Linked DNA regions of Drosophila melanogaster. The protein of the gene in region 2 interacts with the protein of the main gene of each other region in a pairwise test. Each region holds a gene or a part of one and is shown on either strand. Other genes may lie near its edges.

Evidence for each region.
Region 1: the proteins of TRAM (region 2) and slgA interact in a two-hybrid assay, tested with the Drosophila melanogaster proteins (one large-scale study listed by BioGRID).
Region 3: the proteins of TRAM (region 2) and EbpIII interact in a two-hybrid assay, tested with the Drosophila melanogaster proteins (one large-scale study listed by BioGRID).

The regions. Positions count from the first base shown.
Region 1 is NC_004354.4:21,370,737-21,378,239, reverse strand, and holds the start of slgA (sluggish A), read right to left. Parts: upstream 3,929-7,503; 5' UTR 3,500-3,928; exon of another isoform or gene 3,419-3,499; intron 2,819-3,418; exon of another isoform or gene 2,747-2,818; intron 2,131-2,746; exon of another isoform or gene 2,121-2,130; 5' UTR 2,036-2,120; coding exon 1,574-2,035; intron 1-1,573. Other genes in the region: bbx (bobby sox), read right to left, coding at 6,004-7,257, 7,366-7,447. UniProt on the Drosophila melanogaster protein: Converts proline to delta-1-pyrroline-5-carboxylate. Involved in the conversion of proline to glutamate, which functions as a transmitter at neuromuscular junctions. Glutamate deficiency could possibly account for reduced motor activity.
Region 2 is NC_004354.4:932,726-939,982, reverse strand, and holds TRAM (TRAM), read right to left. Parts: upstream 4,752-7,257; 5' UTR 4,145-4,751; intron 4,126-4,144; exon of another isoform or gene 3,723-4,125; intron 3,654-3,722; 5' UTR 3,635-3,653; coding exon 2,528-3,634; 3' UTR 2,161-2,527; downstream 1-2,160. Other genes in the region: CG3704 (uncharacterized protein), read left to right, coding at 1-250, 307-519; CG32815 (uncharacterized protein), read right to left, coding at 1,971-2,042, 5,302-5,442, 5,509-6,444.
Region 3 is NT_033778.4:24,023,357-24,029,393, reverse strand, and holds EbpIII (ejaculatory bulb protein III), read right to left. Parts: upstream 3,223-6,037; 5' UTR 3,093-3,222; intron 3,019-3,092; 5' UTR 2,896-3,018; intron 2,849-2,895; exon of another isoform or gene 2,778-2,848; intron 2,712-2,777; exon of another isoform or gene 2,391-2,711; 5' UTR 2,380-2,390; coding exon 1,999-2,379; 3' UTR 1,876-1,998; downstream 1-1,875. Other genes in the region: CG3163 (uncharacterized protein), read right to left, coding at 1-16; HSPC300 (haematopoietic stem/progenitor cell protein 300), read left to right, coding at 660-780, 1,270-1,379; Ak2 (adenylate kinase 2), read right to left, coding at 3,747-3,962, 4,027-4,194, 4,258-4,494, 4,974-5,075; Xxylt (xyloside xylosyltransferase), read right to left, coding at 5,444-6,037. UniProt on the Drosophila melanogaster protein: Protein component of the posterior mating plug.

The DNA.
Region 1 (7,503 bases), about 20 Mb from region 2:
CCATGTTTTTTACCCATCAATACCCAACCCATTCTCACATATCACGAGACCCACACCGCTCCTCAGTCCCCAAAAGCAATCGACGCGCTACTGTAAATAGAAATGGCGAAAAAATAAGTACACTCTGATACAAATTCAAACGAATATGAGACCCCAATTGTGTTATTGAACTGTGTGCAACAGTTCTTGAGAATGTTCTCACTATATTTAGTACCAAAAGTATAACTAATTGAATGCTAGAACGCTCAAAATCGATTGTGCAAACGATGTTTTCAAATAGATTGCGCCGAGTCTGGTAAAGGAATGGCTTACCAATTTTTTTCTAGTGCAGAGATGTGGGCAAAGTCGATGTCTGACTAATGCCACATGTGATGTGATGTCTACGGTCCCAGGGAGCTGTGCGGACATTCTCTGTGACGTCCATTTAGCCACCCATATATGCAAATTGCATCGAGCGGGGCGAAAAAATGATAAATAAGTAACAGTCTTGGCGACGCATGCACTTTGAGTAATCGATAAGCAATCAAACGATCGCCGACGCTATTAAATAGAAGCACGCTAGCGAGAATGGGGTAAATGCGAGGGGTTTTCCAACGATTCCGATTGGCGCTCATTCGGGGGCCTGACTATATAACGACCTATATATACTATGCAGTCCTACACAGTTCACACAATCCATACGTCTCGCTGAGTAAATACGCACGAGTTAAGAGCAAATAGCGGACCGGGCAAGGTCGCCATCGCAGCGGCAATTTGCATGCCAAAGTTTCCCTTTTTCCTGCCGTCAATCAGGCACTCATTCAATCTTCTGTGCGACTGCAGCACCTGCCAGAAAGTGGCAACAAATGCAACAAGCAATTAGCCAGGAATTCATCAACACGAGGGGAGCAAACGAAAACTCGCTGCGGGTCGGGTGAATTGAAAAGCGGAAGCAGGGCGGAAAATCGGAAGGAAAGCAGCCAGCCACCTGACACGGGCTTCGGTTGCCCGGAAAATCGGAATCAAGCGAATGGAAGCTTGGCAGGATCGAAAAAATTCATGAATAAGACAAAAAAATTCATGAATAGAAAAAAGGAAGCAAACAAAAAAATTAAATATTCTTCTACGTTCAGTTTCAGACAACTTTAACATTATACATACATGGAATTCAATAGCCCTAGCTGTTCATAACTTTTGTTTACTCTTCAAGTGTCCAAGAATCCATGTACATGAATATATTTAAATAAAGCATTTTAAAGGAAGTATTTATAAAATAAATGAATGAATTATAATAAGTTGAAAGCAGCAGAAGAGGACAGAAGAGGCGAAGAGTCAGCACACACTTCGAGAGTTGAAACAAATGGTTTCGAAATCGGTCACTATCTAAAACGATACTTACTTAATTGTAATATTAAGAAAGCATTAAGCAGGGGTTATGTACTAACAGAGCCCCAGATTTCTCAGCAAACAGAACCAGAAACAGAGAGCTAGAGAGAGAGAGAGAGATCTCAGCTAGTCGATGGATTGGACCAATTCAAGGGTCAAAGGTCGCAGGACTCGGCAGAGGAGGAGTGGGGGACACCGATTAACTCACCGTCATGTTGTGCTCGACCAGCTTCTCGCTGGAACATATCATGTAGACGAGATAGGCGCGTATTAGCTCTCCAGTGGTCTTGCTCTTGAAAGCAGCAATCGGATCATTAAAGCTCACGTCCAGGGGATCCCTCTGCGGCGAGCCAGCGGGCGAGGGGTTCTTTTCCTGGGACGACTCCTGCTTCATCGATCGCTTCACCGTCTCGCTGGAGACCACCTCCGGTTGGACCAGAGTGGAGGCCTGCAGCGGCCGGTCGCCGCTGTGCAGGAAGCGCGCTCCATTGACTCCTCTCGTGGACTCCGATGCTGCTCCTTCTCCGGCGATGCTGGTGCTCCCGCTGCCGCGCTGATGGAAACTCCGGCAGGCGGCGACGGCCACGGAATTGCTCGACTTGCTGCTATTACGGCCGTAGACCAAACTGATGGCTGTTCGTTGGGCGCTCAGCGAACGGAGTAGAGCCATTACAAGGGATTCTGCGGTTTATTTACGCTTTCTGCTCTTCGGCTTTTGAGACGGTTATTGAAACGCACTCCAATCTCGGTTGTTGCTGCAAAAAGAAAACAATGGAAAGCAGAGGTAATTTCACTATTATCTCTACAAATCACTACGAATCTGAGGGAAGACAGTGGCGTAACGAAGAGATTACTAAAGGTGGTTATCTCGTTTTCAACTCGATTACAATAACGTTTTAAAAAGTGGAAATGTGGTACATATATAACAAAATTATTACGACTGTTTCAAAATATGCATTGATTTTCAATAAGATCATATAGAATTGATTTAATTGTAATTGGATGATATCTAATTAATATAAAAATAATAAACAAATGTATAATAAAATTCAATTTATAAAAATATTAAAATCAGTGTACATATTATTATTGCAACTTTTTGCCTAATTGTGTTTTTTGCCCCCCCACAAACCCCACGCCAACGCCAATGATCACAGCTGATTTTGTCGGAGAGCTTTTCGCTCTCCCTCTTTCGCTCGCTCCGAATGTTATACAACAAATGCGAAAAACGTGAGGCGGCGAGGGAGAGCGAAGCCGAAAAAAACAGCACAACACAATCACACGTACGCAAGTACACCTTCGAAATGTTCAATTAAAAAAGTCAATTTCTGGGCAGAAATCTATCTTTCGCTATTATGTGTCTTTTGGGTTTTCTTCTTACTTCGTTCTTATTATTTATTCTATTACGCTTTGAGCGTTGTATACGCCGCAAAAGCACGAAACCAAATGCGACGAAGACGCGTGAAAATGGGGCGAGTTGTTAAGCGACGGCAAATTCAACGAAGCGAAACGAGGAAGGACCCGAGGGCGAGAAAATCCTTTTCGCCGCTTCGCTCCCGTTTATGTAACTGTAAATGTAACCGAGATTGTACCGTAATTGTAACTACGACTGTGTGACGTCACAGGCATGCCAGCCCCGTTTGCTTCTGATTTTGATTTTGATTTGGAATTTGTTTTGATTTAATTGAAATGCGCCGAAAGCACACACTAATTGGTGTTAATTGCGGCTCTCCTTGATTCTCCCCAATTTTCGTTCTCAGTTTTCCACCCATTAACCCCTTTTCCCTTTTTCATTTTATTTATTAATTAGCAGCCCGCTAAATAATCGCCAGACGGGAGGCTGCAATCAATCGAAAAAACTTGGCGGGTTTCATTGCACAGATTTCATTACACTTCATTATGGGCTATATCAAGTTCTGTCTCGCTCTGGCCGCCTTGGTTAAAGGGAAACAGGGAGCTGCCGTACTTAAATTGCGAATTCATCTGAATGGTTTTTTTTTTTTTGTTTTTTTTTCTTCATTTTTCTTATTTGTTGCTATGCGGCGAATTGTACCTATTATATAACACTGCTTACTGCTCTCTACCTCGCTTTGTAGAGATCCTTTTATGATACGAATACAACGCAGCCACTCACATGTACACTGCAAAATTTCGCTTGGGTTTGTGGGTTTCCTCTATTTGCTCGATATAAATTTTGCTTTAACGGTTGTTTTGTCACTTCAAAAAAAACAAACTACGATACATAACCAGCAACGACCCAAAAACAATAATAAGGGTAAACAATACAATTTTGTAGAATTTGTAGAATTGCCAAATATAGTTTTTCGGAAAAACTCGTGTTTGTTTGACAAACTTCTCACAGCAGCCTGCGAGAAAAGTAGAAAAGTTCCCGTTTCTGTCAGCGCATTTGCTCACCTCACAAAAGACACACAAGTACAAGTACAATTATAATTATTTTTCGGTTTTTTCGAGTCAATGTTGTTCTTTTCGAGGGTTTTTGGTTTTTGCTGCTGCAACAGAGAGCGTGAGCACGCGCAAGGGTCTGAATTCGCGAATAAACTGAAACACATGAAGCGAAATTAAGGCCAACACGGCGAAAGCTCGTCCAAAAAAGCTTGAGAGAAATTGTTGGACCAGTCGGTGAGGGGCAGAAAGGGGATGGGCCACCCCCAGCAGCTGTTTGGGCTGCACGTGAGCGAAAAAAAGAAACCCGATCGAAAATTAATCGCCATCTTGTCAACTCTTATTACCCAATAAAAATCGGCACGCTTATCTAGGCCCCTGGCGGTTGGCCGGGAATCTTCGGTGCTCTTATCTTATCAATGGACTCCCACACCAGCGTCCAACAAAAACGAACCATTCCTTCTATTCATCTCTCTCCCTGTCTCTTTCTTGACAACCGGCGTCTTGCAACACTGGCCTCGCAAACAGGCTTGCTTTACACCCAGATCACTGGAGAAATATATCGATACGAAATATACGCTCGCAAAATTTGAAATTTAGTTTCAGGTACGAAAATTATTCAAAATGTTTCTCTGTGTAAAGAACGCTTATCGTGGACTCAAGAAAGTATCAAACAGATTTATTTTAATTGCACTATTTACGCAAATATAAGGCCACCAAATGAATATAAGTTTTCTAAATCTTTCTAATCGGACCCTCCCAAGCCAAATATTTCCTTTTGCTGTGTGCCGAAAGAAGGGATTTTAGAAAAGTTTGAATTATTGTTAGTTACAAAATTGAGTATCCGAACTATTTGTTACTTTCAGCTCGCAATATAAATATAATATAAATATCGATAGTTATCGCCGTCTCACAAATCTACACACCAGCGATCTCTAAAAATGTCCTTTGGGTTTGTTTTAAGCGATTTTTTCGGTTACAAATTTCAAACATATTACTTCGTATAAAATCTTTTAAACTGATTAAAATTAAAAACAAAGCGATTCGGCTTGTGACACTAACAAAAAAAAACCTTTTACGTCTCAATTTACTTTACTTTAAAATTGTTTATAGAAAAAAGGTAAGAAAGTTAAGAAACATTTATGGCATCAAAGAAATCATGTTAACGTAAAAAAAAACTACAAGAACTATATGCACTCCATATTTTTTAATATACACAATGTATGCGTACATAGATACCAAATTGTTCCCGTATACTGATTACTTACTGGCGTTTCATAGATAAATATTGCAAAATTGGCTCTTCAAAATGAAAATTCCAAGTTTCCATTTTAAAATGAATATATTTTTGTTTGCAAATTGTTTGCGTTTCGACAAATATAGCAATAAGTTACGACTACATATTAGAAATAATAATAATTAACATTTAATGAGCGACCGCTGCTGTTGATTTTGCTGCTTAGCGAACGCGGCCCGAAAAAGGAGAAACTTAACAAGAAAAAAACAGAACAAGTTATTTAAATACCAAATATATACATAGATATATGCGTGTGAAACTGACTCGGGTCTCCTCCTACCGCCGTCATAACAAACAATACATAATTCGCTATCGCCGCGACTCTCTTCTCGCATTCTCTTCGGCTGGCTTGATTTTCTGTTATTACATAATATTATTGACTAAATTGTAGATCAACGAATGTCTGTTTTTCCATCTCCATTGGGCACCACCAGCAAATAGCTTTAAGCATCGTAAGTATCGAAAATGGGTGCTTAACTTGACCGCAAGACTATCATAAGGGCGACAAATTCAGTTTAAGGTTTTCGATTGATGCGACAATGTTAAAACAATTGAATATTAATGCACAGTTGTGCGGATATGAACTGAATATTTTGGATATGTGTGCAACATAGCCCGAAAAACATGTAAAACCTATCTATATATGTATGTAAATAAAATATAAAGTATTATTCCTCAGCTCTGACGTAATGAATGATGATATGAATAACTGCTAAGGACATGCTCTTTTGCTTTCCTAAAAACTATATAATAAGGTAAACAGGGAATAGTTTAAATATCTAAACATAATTTCAAATTATTGCAACAGGATATACATATGTGAATATGTCTTCCCCAAGTATGACAATCTTGCAGTTCGCTATTTTGATTTGGGCTAACTATTTGGTGGTAATGCTGGACAGCCAGTGGTGCTGCTGATGTTATTGGTGTTGCAGGCGCTAGTTGGACTTGGTCAGCTCAGTGCGGTTGGCGGCCACTTCGGCCAGAATGAGTAGATCTGAGGTAGAGGAGGTCACGTCGAAGGCCGCCTGCGAGGAGAGCGAGGAGGATGACGACGAGGAGTTCGAAGAGAGCGGTGGCGAGGCCGACGACGAGGTTACAGGGGCATTCACCGCCTTGGGAGCACCGCTCTGGTTAAAGTAGTAGCTGCCATTGATGGTCAGGGGCAGAATTGAGGCCACCTCCTGTTCAATGGCACTAACATCGCGCCGGGTGATACTTTCCTTGCGCGCCTTTCGTCGCTGGCTTCCCACAGCCTGCAGTTGCTGCTGCTTGATCCTCACGTGTTGCTCGCTAGATAATGGGACAGCACCTTTCGCCGCAGCATCTGCTGCTGCCACATTCGAAGTTGCTGATGCACCACTTGTGCTGTTCGAATTCCTCTGTTTCTTGGTGCCGCTAAACTTCTTCTTCTTTTTGGTGCTACGTTTGCGCTGCAGGTAAGCGTCCAAGCTGAGGGCTGGCAGCTCTTTGATTTTCTCCTCGAGATCAAAGAAACCACTGCTGCTTGACTCGGAAACGCTTCTTATATGTTTTTGCATGGAATCCGGACTGCTACCCTGACGTTCCGGTGGCGAAACGGGCGGTGTATTGGGTCCCGCATCCAAGGGGATGTCCACAAAGTTTCCACCCATGTTACCTGCCGGCGGCAAGCGAGCTTTGCTCTTCTTAGCTATGGCCGCCAATTGACCGGAATTGACCAATTCCTGGTAAATCTTGCCCTTGCAGGAGCGTGATGACTTGACCTTCTTGTTTGGCGAGCTACCACTGGCCGCCTCCTCCTCGCTGGAGTTGCTCGAGTTGTTGTCCTGCAAGGAGCGCTTATTGCCATTCCCATTTGTATTGCCAGCTGGCATATGGGCAGATAGAAACTGGCTGGTCTCGCTGAGCACCTGCTGTAGGGCGAAGTCCTTTTCTTGTACTTGAACTTGCAGTAGGGAGCTTAGCTCGCCCATCTGCGTTTCGTCTGCCAGTTTAAAGTAGTTGGGGCGCAGCATAGCACGCGGCATCTCCCCTCGCTCTGCCCACTGCACTTGCAGTGAAGTCGGCACCTGCTGCTGTGGCTGATCTTCACTGGGTATGAGCAAGCCAGCAGACGCGTTGCTGGGACGGGTAGCTAGCGTTCGCAGCGGCGGAGCTGGCAGTTTGTACCACTTGAAGTTTGGATTAGCATTGAAGAAGGCGTCCTTGTTCTACAAAAGAAAATTAATTAGCTTGCTAAACTTATAGAACTCAAAGCCCAGCAGGCATGTTCAGCAGAAGTGAAGTATGTGCACGGGTAAATATTGTATGATCCCCACCTGCTGTGCCAGATCCGTGAAGCAGTGTTTCTCCTGCTCGTCGAGAGCGGCCCACCAGTCGCCAAGTATCTTTGTAATGGCACTAAAAGAGGTAAACAACGAGTGAGTAATCTTTCCGGAACCTAAATGGGTGCAGCT
Region 2 (7,257 bases):
CACCATGTCGCTCACCCTGGACACCTTCTACGAGAATCTAAGAACGTGCGGCGTCTCGGCCAAGACAGGCGTAGGCTTCACCCAGCTACTGACGAAGATTCTCGAAAGCGTGGACGAGTACGAGACGGACTACAAGCCTGTTTACGAAAAGAAGCGCCAAGAGCGACTGGCGGAGAGTGCGACGGGTCCAAAGCCAGTGGATCATGTGGAAGAGGACGGCCATGCCGTTCCCCTGGGATTGTCGCTTCAGGTAGGAACAGTTCCTCGGCTATTTGTGCACCCACTGCAGGGTCTTAACTATTTCAGGACCCACCGCCGCACACTGGAAACAGCATTTTCCTAATGGCACCTAGTCTGGTGCCCGAGTCGGCGGAAATCGAAGACGAGGAGGAGATGGAGGAGGACGCGAAGGGCACCGCCGAAGAACAAAACTTCCACAGCTTCGTGCAGAACCACCTGACTGCCCAGCAGAGCAAGCGGGACAAACTGCAGCAGGAACAGGAACAGGCTCAGCCGTAAATGGGCGGATTGTGATCCTCGATGGCTATGGATTTCGTGATTTCGAGTTTTCATTTTTATTATTTACTTTAACAAGCAAAAACATTCAATATAGTGTGTGTTCGTCACTTGCACCTCCGATATTTGGTTTGTATATATGGACTTAGTTTAGCTTTGCAAATTAGTGATAACATATACATATGGAGGATATATCCCGCTCGTAAATGTAAATGCAAGCCTCATACTTTGCGTAACTTACTCTGTATATATATATATGTATGCAGATAAATATATATATATTTACATTTATGCTGTATGTATCATGTGTGGTGTGTACTGCGTTGAGCAAATAAATTGTGTGTCGCGTGTGTTGGCTGCTGCGCCCGATATCTTACGCTTTATAGTTGCTTCTCTGGATTTGGTTGTCTCGTTATTGGCTGCCGCTTTAAATATTACGCTTACAAAAATACAGATCATCTCAAATACTTGTCAATGCCTCACAGTTATACACAGTTTATATAGACGAACAGTAGTCCCCCGCTACGGTTTCTCACCGCCCTACTGCTCACTGCCCAACTGTCCCATCTGAATCGAATCGAATCGAATCGCCAAGCGTTTTGGGCCAAGACGGACTTGCATCCCCATCCCCATCCCCGCCTGCCTGTGCTGCAAATTAGGTGTAGTCGCTTGCAAAAAAATATTCATATCTCTGGACGTTTCATTTGATTTGAGTGCGTTTTCCGAGGGCTGTGCCTCGGTGCTTTTGTGCCTCGGTGCTCCCTTTTCCGCGATGCGTCCACCAATTGGTTTCAGAGCAGCAGGAACAGCAGACACAAAAGGTGGATTGTGTTTAAAAAGCTCGGTTAGTTTGGAAAGTACTTCGGATGAGATCGAACATTGTCACATCTTCGTGCCGAGAGCCCAGCTATTGGTGGTGCACGGAGGGGCTCAGTGGCCAGCGTGGACACCACCACATCCCTCGCACGTCAAGTTATCAAGCTAGCTCTTGCATTTATGCATATTTATAAGTAACGGGTATCTTGGGGATCACACACACACACATACACACACACTATCAGCACACACACGCACACAGTTTTGTAAGGATGGGTGATTGGTAAGAGGGGGGGGACAGTGCGGGGTGAAGACAAGCATTGGAAAAATTTGGGGATAGCTAAACAGTAGTTTCAGAAACAGTCTTCTTCGTGCTTGGATTACTCTTTGCTCCGCCTTCCGCCTGCCTCATGGCCAGAAGCGGAGGGGAAATTTGGGGATCGGGATCGGGATTAGCATACTGGATCAGCTGGCGTGGAGCCATCTCAGCAGGTCCAGGTGTCTGGGTAATCGTGTGTGTCTCAAACGGATGGGCGAAGTGGGCGATGGCCCAGCCAGCGACTTTGGATCGCTCAAGCAGGCCGGAAATCAAAAGCTGGAACCGAGGGCGAACAGGGAATCATCTGAACGAGCTCCAATTAGTCGTCGTCCGACAGGTTGGTGGTGGTCAGCAGGGTGGCGTTGTCCTCGGCGCCCTGTTCCTCGATGTCCTGCAAGAGAGAAAAGTTATTCAGGCTTCGGATCACCATATGGATCACCTTGGGGTAATCACCAGGACAATGGGAAGTTGCAGGAGAAGGAGGAGGAGCAATTGAAAACACGCAGTGTGGGCTTTGCTTTTCTCTTTTGTTGTATTTGTTTCTTTTTTCATTTTTTTTTTTTGTATGTATAAAAATAAAAAAAATTTGTTTTAAAAATGACGTAAACTTAAATGAAACAAAACATTTAGGCTAAGAAATAGTTCGTTCTTTTGTGTGTCGAGGAAGTAAATGCAGCAGAAATGTTGCAGTGGTAGTTTTGAGCTAACGAGATTACATCAAACAGGGAGCCAAGTAGCCAGTGTTCAGTGGTCAGTGGCAAGTGTCCACCAATCCAACCTGGGCTCCTGTCCATGGTGCTGCTCTCTCTATCTCTCATTCGTTTTGAATTGGAAGTGTGCGGAAGATTTTGTTGCTCTGCTCGGCCGGGACGGCTCTCACTTGAGCTTCTGCTTGATGGGACTGGGCGAGGTCTGGTCCGCCTCAGGCAGGTCGCTCTCCTTCTTGCGCTTCACCTTGTCCTTGGGCGTCTTGGCTGGCTTTTTGGTCTGCAGCGCCAGCTTGGCCTCCCGCTTGGCCTCCTTCTTGGCCTCGCGCTTGGCGCGCAGCTGCTCCGTGATGAAGGAGAAGACCAGGTAGCCCTGCAGGGCGATCAGGCCGCCCAAGGCCAGCAGGGATCGCACACCCCCGATGCCGTAGTACAGCGTGAGCACACCGATCACGGACGTAGCGAAGCGGATCAGGAAAAAGACGGCATTGTTCACCACCCGCAGCTTGGCCAGTCGCTCCTCGCGGTCGAACACGCCGATCAGCTGGAAGACGTGCGACAGCAGCTCGCTGAAGTAGTGCAGCGTGAGCAGCACGAGGGCCAGGCGCTGGAAGCTAAGCGTGTAGGCCAGGACGATCAGGGTGAAGCCGCTGATCGAGTGCACGATCTTGGGCTGCTGCTCCTCCTTGGTCTTGATCTTCTGGAAGTAGAGCTCCGGCAGCATGTGTAGGTAGTAGGCCAGCTGCACCACAAAGTAGAACTTGTGCAGAAAGCTCATGGGATGGTCGGGGAAGCCCTCCCACAGCTGGGCCACCTGTCCGAGGTAGCCCTCCTTCAGCAGCACGTGGGCGCCCCAGACGAAGGAGAGCAGGTAGAAGGCCACCAGTTGGCCGGACTCGTTGAAGCGGGCCAGCTTGAACTTGGACAGGTGTAGTTTTTTGCTGATCTTGTCCAGCACGAACTCCTGGATGATCGCGTGCATGATTATGCAGGTCAGCGTGTAGAAGAATATCGCGCAGTAATCCTTGATGCCGGCGATGTAGGTGTATGGCTTGCCATATGGCTGCTCCCGGCTGGGGTCCTCACCGCTGACGTTGTGGTGCAGGGATATGAACGCGCTGGCGAACGCCGCCGTCGACTCGTTCATCAGGCCGACCACGAAGACCATGGCTACGCAGGAGATGATGTCCGCGTGGTTCTGGATCACAAACTCGTGGCTCAGGATAGGCGGGTTCTTGTTGCTGGTCTTGCGACCGAGTCCCGGTTTAATGGCCATTGCTCTGGTTCAGGGGTTTCTGAAATGGTTTATGAGTTGGTTATTCAAGATCTGCTGGCTGTTCGCCTTTCCCTGCGTGACTTCCTGCCCTTGTTGTTGCGGGGGAGCATCTGTAGTAGCCTCGCATATGTGACACGTCGCCCTTTCAGCTTGGCCGTCTGTTGCATCGGTTGAATGATGCCGTCGATGCTGCCCGGAGTGGCTTTTAGCAACGAACACCAACTGAGTAGCAGTGCGCTCCAATGGTGCTACTCCGCATCCCGGCTCCAATCTGCCAGCCACAAGTGCCCACAAGTGCGGTCCGGCACAACTGATACCTGCGCGCTCGCCTGGCATATTCCGCGCCTCTGCCCACTTTCCATGAATGGGAACCTGTGCACACAGCTGCCGAATGGTGTCGTGCTCGGGCGAATACCCTTTGAGCGCCTCCTGGCGCTCCGAGGAGTGACTACTTTGGTCAAGATGCTCCCCAACAGCAAACACACATTTTGCCTTGTTGGCACTGCTCACCGACGCTCGCACACACACGCACGCACACGGCTGCGCGCTCCCACTCACTCACACACACGCACGCACACTGGGAGACTCCAAGCGACACGCTGGCAAAACTGTTGTTGCACGCTTGCCATTTTTACTCACAGGATTTTCGCCAATCTTCCGGCCAACTGGTGACTTGCAGCGTGATTTTGCTGACGTAGACGTTGCCTTGCGTTCCGTTCCGTTGCGTTGCGTCTGGCACACACTGGCGGCTCCGATTCGGGTTGTGATCTGGAACTGAATCTGAATCTCAATCGGCACAATCGACGCAAACTGAAGTATCTGCTCTGGGCGCTCTGCCTCTGCCGCTGCCTGCGCCGCTGCTGCTGTCGACTGCGCTACTGGTGCTCACCTGTGTGCCGCCTGCGCGTGTGTGTGTGTGTGTGTGCGTGTTTACACCAGGGATGGCACATCGCGCACTTCTCACTTTTTGTTTGCTTGCACTTTTCACTGTGAAGCCGATTTGTTGGCCGAACTATTTATTCTTGTCACACTCAGCTTGCAAATTTCGAAGGTATTTTTCGCTGGTTCCAATTTGTGGTTTGCCCAGCCCTGGCTAAAGTGCCACGCACTCTCTCTGCGCGACTGCCGTCTTGCTCGCACCCGCGCCGACGCCGTCTCTGCTGTGGTGGTTTTGGTATTTTTTGGTCCTTGTTGCCATGGCGATCTTCGTGCGATGATTTTCCGCACTGCCATCGCTCACGACCAGGGCTGCAGTTCGATTTGGCGCCAAATATATTTTTATTCAAAGTTTTGGTTCTTTATACACAATTATTCAAGATTTGCACTATTTTCACACTTCACTTAACAGCTTAAAGGTAAACAAAAGACCGCACCACCTCTTTCACTGTGCTACACGAACAGCGCGCAGCTCGAATTAGTCGATTATGTTTGGAGCTCGATGCAGTGCAGGTGGAACACCTTGGAACACCTAGCCATGCAGACTTAATGCTAGGATTCGTGATTCAATCGCGATGCCGAACAACAACAACAAAAACAACTACAACGGCAGGAGAACGGGCTCAAGGACGCGCTACCACCCACGCACCCGCTCACGCGCCGCTCACCAAGCGAACACCCAACCTCCCACTTCCGGTTCGTTGGTCAAGCCAAATGCACAGTATACTCACATTGCGATTCCGCTTGCGGACGGAGGACACAATGGTGCGCTTGTTGCGTGCCACCAGGCAGACCGTGATGATCAAAATCACTCCGATGAGGGCGAAGCCCAGCAGAGCGGGCAGCAGCACGCTATCCTCGTCCTTGTAGCCCTGCAATGGGAGTAATGGGAGTTAGTGGCGGCCAACAGGGCAGCTAAGTTGTGGCGTGCGACTTACGCTCCATTGGAAGTACGTCGATGGATCGATGTAGGCCCAGTGCGTCTTTATCCAGGCACCGTTGCTCTTTTGCCCTCCGCCCTCCGATTGCGATTCCGATTCCAATTTCGATTGCGACTCGTGCTCCGTGCCCGCCTGTACCTGCAGCCTGGAGTTTTGGCCTCCTCCGGCCTGGATCTGCGGCCCCTGGACTTTGGCCAGCACTGGCGGCATTATGGGCTTCTTGGCGGCGGACTTGAGTAGGGGCACCTGGATGATGCGGGTGGTGATCGTGGTCGCCGGCGGAGGCGGCGGCGGGGCCGGGTACCTCGGAGTGGTCACCGGCGGCTCCCTGGTTGTCGTAGTGGTGGTGCTTGTGCTTGTGGGGGCTGGAGCGGTTGTCGTCGTCGTTGTGGTGGAGGTGCTGCTGCTGCTGCTGGAACTGGTGGCCACGATGTTGGGGCCAGTGGTGGTGCTCCTGGTGGTGCTAGCACTCGGATTGGTTTTGTTCACCCGAATTACGAACTGCTCAATGCCATTCCGGTTCACAATTTTCACATTCCGGCCCACGTTCTGCTGCAGAAAGGGCGATCCTGTGGGCAGTATGGAGGAAGTGCCAGCCGAATCTCCACCGCCTGGCTGCGGACTGTGGATCAGGGCCGCCTTGGTCTTCAAGAACCATTCTGCGGGGTTCGGCAGACATTCGGCGGACACAAGGAAGGGTATGAGCACGGCGCCAATGATCACGGTGCACACGAAGATCAAGCCCAAGTAGGCGAAGAAGGATCGCCGGCGTCGCTGGCCCTTGGCCTTGACGGAGGCGGTGGAGGAGGCTCCCCCGCCGGCGGAGCCCGATCGTCCCGAGCCCGAGAGCTTGCCCTCGATGCGGAAGTCGTCGTTCTGGGGCAGAATCGTGTACTGCAAGCTGTTCTCCCCGTGCCTGATGGTCTTGTACATCTTGTCCTGTTCTTCGTATGCGCTTGGGATGCTTCCGCGGCTGCCTCGATCCTCTGGAGCTTTCTTCCCTGGACCTGACTGGTTCACCTGGCTGCTCAGAGCCTCAGATGGGCCCTGGTCCAAAAGAGTTTGGTTATTCGAGTCACAACTGCCTCCACTTCCGCGACCCCCCCCCCCCCCCTCCTCCAACACTTTTCCCAGTTGTTACCTTTGCGACAGCAAATCCTCAATGTTCACTCTTGCGGGCTGCAGACCTGGTAGCTGCGTATCCTCTGTCCTCGAAGCTCCTGCCAATCGAATGTGGCTTTCTCGGCCTCAACGGAAGGTGCTGTGCGTTCTGTTGGAGTCCTTGGGGAATATTGTTTTTGTCCTGTTCCTGTTCCTGCTGCTGATGCTGATGCTCCTTGCGCACTAAATTTTATGTTTTTATTGATTAGGCGCTTGTTGTTTTCCGGCGCAGGCGCGATTTCCGAGTGTTGGCAAGTGCTCTTCGCGTCCCTTAAGGACATTTTCTAGTGTTGGCAATGGGAGTCTGGCACTTGAAGCACTTGAATCGAATTCTAACGGCTAGGTTTCAGCACTCCAGCTAGTTTTCACATCCATCGACTTGGAAAATCTCTCTTTTGGCGAGATTGTCAGCTCCAGAGCCCCACTACATCCAGTCGGGTCACATCCAAGTACCCACGAACACATTTGCTGAAGCACTCGGTCTATGCAATTTTTTATCTTGGCCAATCGTTGTGGAACTTCTACGCAAGCAGACTTTGCACCAGAAGATAGCCTGCACCACGGCTATCTGGAGCTGGCTATCGG
Region 3 (6,037 bases), on a different chromosome or scaffold from region 2:
CGTCGATAAAGTCCATTTTTTGTTTACCAAATGAAAAACACTGTAGTTTACGGGGCCACCTAGTTTATCTATGTGTGCGTGTGCGTGAGTGGCATCAATAGCTATCGTTTCGCTCGGCTCATTCCGATTGGAACACGCGGAATCGGACCGCAAAATGGGTACATACTTTGCTGGTTTGCAGTAATTCCTTAATAAATATCATTTAAAACAATAAAACATCGAAAACTAACCCACGGTTAATATAAAATATAGCAAACGCAAATTCGAATATATCTATGTATATTGCGATATACAATTGTATATTGCGGCGATAAGTTTCTTTATATATTCGGCTGTGTCTACCCCAATACTTTTATTATTTACCTTTATTTTATTATTCATATTTACACGCTATAGTTGGCAGACAAAAATATTAAGTTATTTCTTTCATCGCACTTTCCCGCGTAATTTTTAAATAGTAGTGCTTAGGGAGTGTTGTAAAACACCATTAAAATTTCTTGTTGGAGTAAAAATTTGATCTCAATGAATCACGGTGAACACGGTAATTGTATGCCTATCGATAGTTCCAAATTTTTGACAATAATTGTTCCGGCCCAACCCATCTCTCATCTCTAGATAAACACAATTAAAACGAACAGAAACAATAGGAATAAATAAAGATGAGTGGGGCTCACAGAGAGGCGATCCAAAAGCAGATCCACCAGGACTGGGCGAACAGGGAGTATATCGAAGTGATAACTGCCAGCATAAAGAGAATCACCGACTTTCTGAACTCTTTCGGTAAGCAACCTGCATACGAAGCACCCACTTCCCTCTGACGCATGTGTGTGTGCGCGTGTTTATTATCACTTCCTTTGTAGGTGTGGGTGAACGCATAAGTAATATTACTAACAAATATTCATCAGTGACAATGACTTTATTTACTCAAGTCTTAAGTCTATAGAAACAAACAGTGGTTTGTGCGTGGTGGCATATATGTATAGCAATATATGTATCTACATACATATGGAAATGTATGTATGTAACATCATCGGAGGGCTCAAAACGAAAATTCGGCTTTATCTCTATCCGAATTAGTCACCTAAATGAATTGGATAAGCTTTTTCGGTTGCTCTATGCATAATTTAAGATACGCTAAATACTGTGATAAATGATAAGCCAAAGAGTGCGAGGTAGTTGGGTTGCTAAAATATCCCATATCCTTAATAGGGTTTATGTACACTGTTGGCATTATAAACTGTATCATCGTGTGCTATCATATCCTTTCAGATATGTCCTGTCGCTCCCGTCTGGCGGTGCTGAACGAAAAACTAACGATCCTGGAGCGGCGCATAGACTATCTGGAGGCGTGCGTCGCCCAGGGTGAAACATTAACGTAAACGCTGCCCACAACCTTATACTAAGCTTTGTACATTTATAAGTAATTAAAATACTGATTTAATATTTAATATCTTTTGATTCGCAATGTGAATTGCCGTGACATTAATAATTCGCTGTACATTGTTTGTTTGTTCTTTGAAGGAAGGTTTTCACGGCTGAGTTACTTGCGGCCATCGGATTCGATTCATTGCCCCTTTTAAGAATAATATAAGTAATAGCTCAGAACCAAGACAAGCACGCGATGTTTTTGCCAACTAACCGTAGCTGCCTTTATTGTCAATGTTAATGCAAATCGCCCGCCATATATAAGCCGCTTATTAGGGTCTAGTCGTAATCTTGTGAATGTTTTTTCTAAGACCTTAATTGTGCTTAGATTAATCATCGTTCTAGTAGCAGGAGGCTAGACTTAAGTGCTACATTTGTCATAGTTAATTTATATACTCTCTGAAGCCTGGCAAATCCCCCTTCGATAACGATATAATACTCGGCAGGTGTATGGTAAAAAAACAAATCTCTTTATTCCGAGCACGATCGTAGAAATAATTTTGATGATCAGATATAAGCGTAGACCTAATTAACAGTGCATATAACCAAGAGTTTCCGGAACCGGGATCCGCCTTACACCTTGATTCCCGAGGCCTCGGCGGTGGCGCGGTAGCGCTTGATGTAGATCTCATCGGGATCGTACTTGGCCTGCAGCTGCTTCCACTCCTCGGGCTTGTTTTCGATGATGTAGCGAATGACCTTGTCGGTGTTCTGGCGCTGCTTCTCGCTGCACTTGCTGCACTCCGTCTTCAGGGCGTCCGGCAGGGACTTCTTGAGCTCCCGGCCCTCCGGGGTGCACTTTCCGTTGTCCACCAGGCACTTGAAGTAGTTTCCGAAGAGGCGGTCCGACTTCAGGATCTCGTCGACGTCGATGTTGTCGTACTTGGTGGTGTACTTATCCTCGGCGGCGACCAGCACCAGTCCAAGGACGACAAGCGCAAGTATCATCTTCATCTTGGAGTTTTCTGCGGGCGAATTGGGGTAAGTATGTTTGTACGATTAATCAGCACTTTTGTGGCTTAGTGGGTCTGTTGGTCGGGCAACCAGTTTTGTGCGCAGGGGATTTTACTGGGCAATGGAAAAATATTTTTACTAGCCATCGAGCGCGACTGCATTCGCAAAATGTATCTGTGGACTTATGGGATTTGTATGCAAATTAATGCACAGCCAGGCAGGCCACTTTGTATGCGTATCTGAAACACATTCGCTGTCTGAAAAGATGTCACTGTTTATACACAATGAAACTGGTTGCCCGTCTGGCTGCGTCCATGAGTGTGTGGACTACTACCAGCCACCAGTCGACCAGCCGAGCCGATCGGCTCCAAAAACTATAAACGGTGCGGTGGTCTTACAATGGGGCTCGACTTGTGGGGCGACTCGGAGCGAATAGATGTGAAGCAATTCAGCTGCTGGAACTAACTGAGAAATGTTTCTATGAAGTGGGCTTTTATACCTGGGCCCACTTTTTACCTGGGATTGAACTTCAAGTGTAATACACAACACAAACCGCGCGCTGTGAGCCTGTGTTCGAGCTCGGCTCGTATCCATACGGGATTGCACACACTTTAGACTTTGAAGCGAAAATCGCTATTGCTGAAAAGTCAACCCAGTGATTAGTCAATCGTCGTTATAAATTTATATAATATATGTGCGATAGTTATACACACTTAAATTGACATTAACATTAGGCAGGTGACGTCTGAGTACTAAACGGCGATCGAAAGTCGCTCTGCGAGAGATTCGCAGCCACGATGGACGGGCTAACTTGGCGATATGTTATTTGTTTACCAGATTTAACGATCTCATTAGCGATTTCCATTAGCAATTTCTCATTTGTTACACTTGAGACCCGTGCAACATGACCCTTTAATAGTCGCTTTAAAGTTGATTGCAATAATAAATAGTTCTCGGAACAATTAGTAGCTATCCATCAAACGCTAAAAACCTCGATTCGAAACTGAGTCAGCCGCATCATATTCCAGAAGCTTTCCGGAAAACAATTGTGTGGAAGTTTGAACTTGGCGTCGTCCATCCCTCATTCGAACGCAGCCCAGTTTAAAGCAGTCATGTCTCGTAAAATGTACTTGTTTCCTTCGATTTTTTTATTAAATTGTATTGTAGTTACAAATAGTGAAATGTAAAAAGTAACAAACACATACACTTTAGAAATCTGTACAAGGAAAGTAGTCGACCTGCAAAGGTAATTTCGTTTGTTCAGGATTTCCGGATGCAACTATAACTTTAGGCTTAAACGTTGTGTGTGTCTCGAAATAAATTGTCAGGAGGCAGTTATCAGTAGTTGATCATTGCGCAGGAACAAATCATAACTGGATCTGGGCAGGACGCTTGCGTTGGAATATAGAGTCGATGGTGGAGAAGACGTCGCTGGACTTCTTGGCGGCGTCCACCTTGAAGTGCAGACCCCTCAGGCCGTAGTAGTCGACCAGCGGCTTTGTCTGCTTGTGATATGCTTCCAGTCGCTTCTTCAGAGCCTCGGCGTTGTCATCGCTGCGACGGATTAGGGGCTCTCCAGTGACCTGCAAGTACACAAGGTCTGCTTTCATTTAGAGTTCTTGGATAGCGTCCTATAGAGATACTTACATCGTCCGTCATTGGCTTCTTTGGAGGGGCAAACTCTTCGTGATACGAACGCCCGCTGGCCTGGTGGATCAAGCGGCCAGTGATGCGCCTCACCAACAGACTGTCGTCGATGGCAAACTCGATGACAGCATCCAAGTTGGTTTTCCTCTTGTCCAGCAATGTGTCGAGCTGCAAAGTGCGTTTCGAACGGATTATAACCTAAAGTCCAAAGTGCTTCACACGTGTGGCTACCTTCTCAGCTTGAACGACAGTCCTGGGGAATCCGTCCAGGAGGAATCCATTCTTGCACTCGGGCTTGTCCAGGTTGGAGTCGATCATGTCCACGACCAGGTCGTCGGAGACCAGTTTGCCGGCATCCATGACCTTCTTCAACTCGGCTCCCAGCTTCGAACCGGATGAAATCTCCGCCCGCAGCATGTCGCCGGTCGACAGGTGGCACACGCAGAACTTCTCCTTCAGCAGGGGAGCCTGAAATGGGCATAATTAAAAACATTGATAAGTTTCAGTTAGAGCTAATCAATTAATCAATTTAGCACCATATCGGAAGGTAAGCAAGGTAACCAATCGGCTAGATAAGATGCATTTCTTGAGGCCAGGAATGTTCTGGTAGCCTTTTAATAGATGGTCTGCATAATACCCAATCGATTGCCTAAAGGTGTTCCACTTAATTCGCCACATCTCGCCAAGGCTTTGATTTGATTCAGGGTCAAGAGAAAGACACTGCTTGACGCATATGTACATACTTGGCACGTAGATACATACATATACATTTCCATGTACACATCGTCTTATATAACTTCACCAGTTTTAATTCTCTTCCAAGAGAATTAACGAGCTTCACCGATTATTTGCAAACAAAAACCGCGCACTTGAACACGTTGTATTTATTTATAGACTACATGGCGTCCGTGTCACAAAAAACACATCATTATGTAATTTTGACCCACCTGCGTTCCTTTGCCGGAACCCGGCGGCCCCAGGAGAATGGCGTTGATCCCGATGTTCTCAGGCTCATATCGCTCCACTGGTACTGCTGCATTCGGCGCCATCGTTAACTACGTATGCTCGACTGATTATTCGGGACTGCTCCTAATTCATAGCCAAACGGAGCCAGAAATGAAGGTTAAAGATAAGAAACAAGAGGCGAAATCATTCACACGAAACACCCTGTGCGGCATATTCCCACTCTGTTGCTTCTCGCCTATCGATAACATTCTTACATCGTTTTGATATTTTAAATGGTGATAGGTGTGGGCTGTCTTTTATCTTTAAATTTCATTTTTATATATCACCATTTATAATGGTCTATAAACTAAGATTAAATTCACCGTATATTACATAACGTTCCATTACAATAGTTATACCAAATAAAAATACCCTGCATTTAATTAATTTAATATTCCTATAACAATTTTATTTATTCTGGAATTCGCGTATTACAGTTGCCATGGTACATTTTAATATTGCCCTCGCACCGGAAATAAGCGTCGAATATCTGTGAGTATCCGTGATCCTTCCACCAGGTGCACAGCTGGCGGTTCCAAATGCAGTCCAGTCTGTAGATTAAGTTCGGGTACTCGTATCCCAGCAGGGTGAAGAAGTCCTGGTCGCCGAGGTGGCCCTTGAAGGAGTACTTGGCGACCAGGGTGTGCACCTCCGAGTGGGTCAGCTTCTCCAGGTAGGACTTTGAGTTACGGATGCGGTTTAGGAGCAGCAGGACCACGCCGGAGTTCAGGCCTGGATAGCCGTGGTGGACACGGCTATGTTGGTTGCCCCCTTCGTTGTTGATCGGATAGTAGGGATTCCCGAAACTGGTCTTCGGATAGCGCACGCGATAGCGGTAGAGGATGTGGCGGTAGACGGGGGTCAGTTCCGGTGCCAGTCCGTACAGCTGGTGCGGCAGAAAGTTGTCGAACTCATTGAACAGCAGTCGGACATCGGATCGGAAGACTATATCACAATCTAGCAGAATGGCTCTGTTTAGGCTCCTGTCGGCGATCCTGTGAAGGCC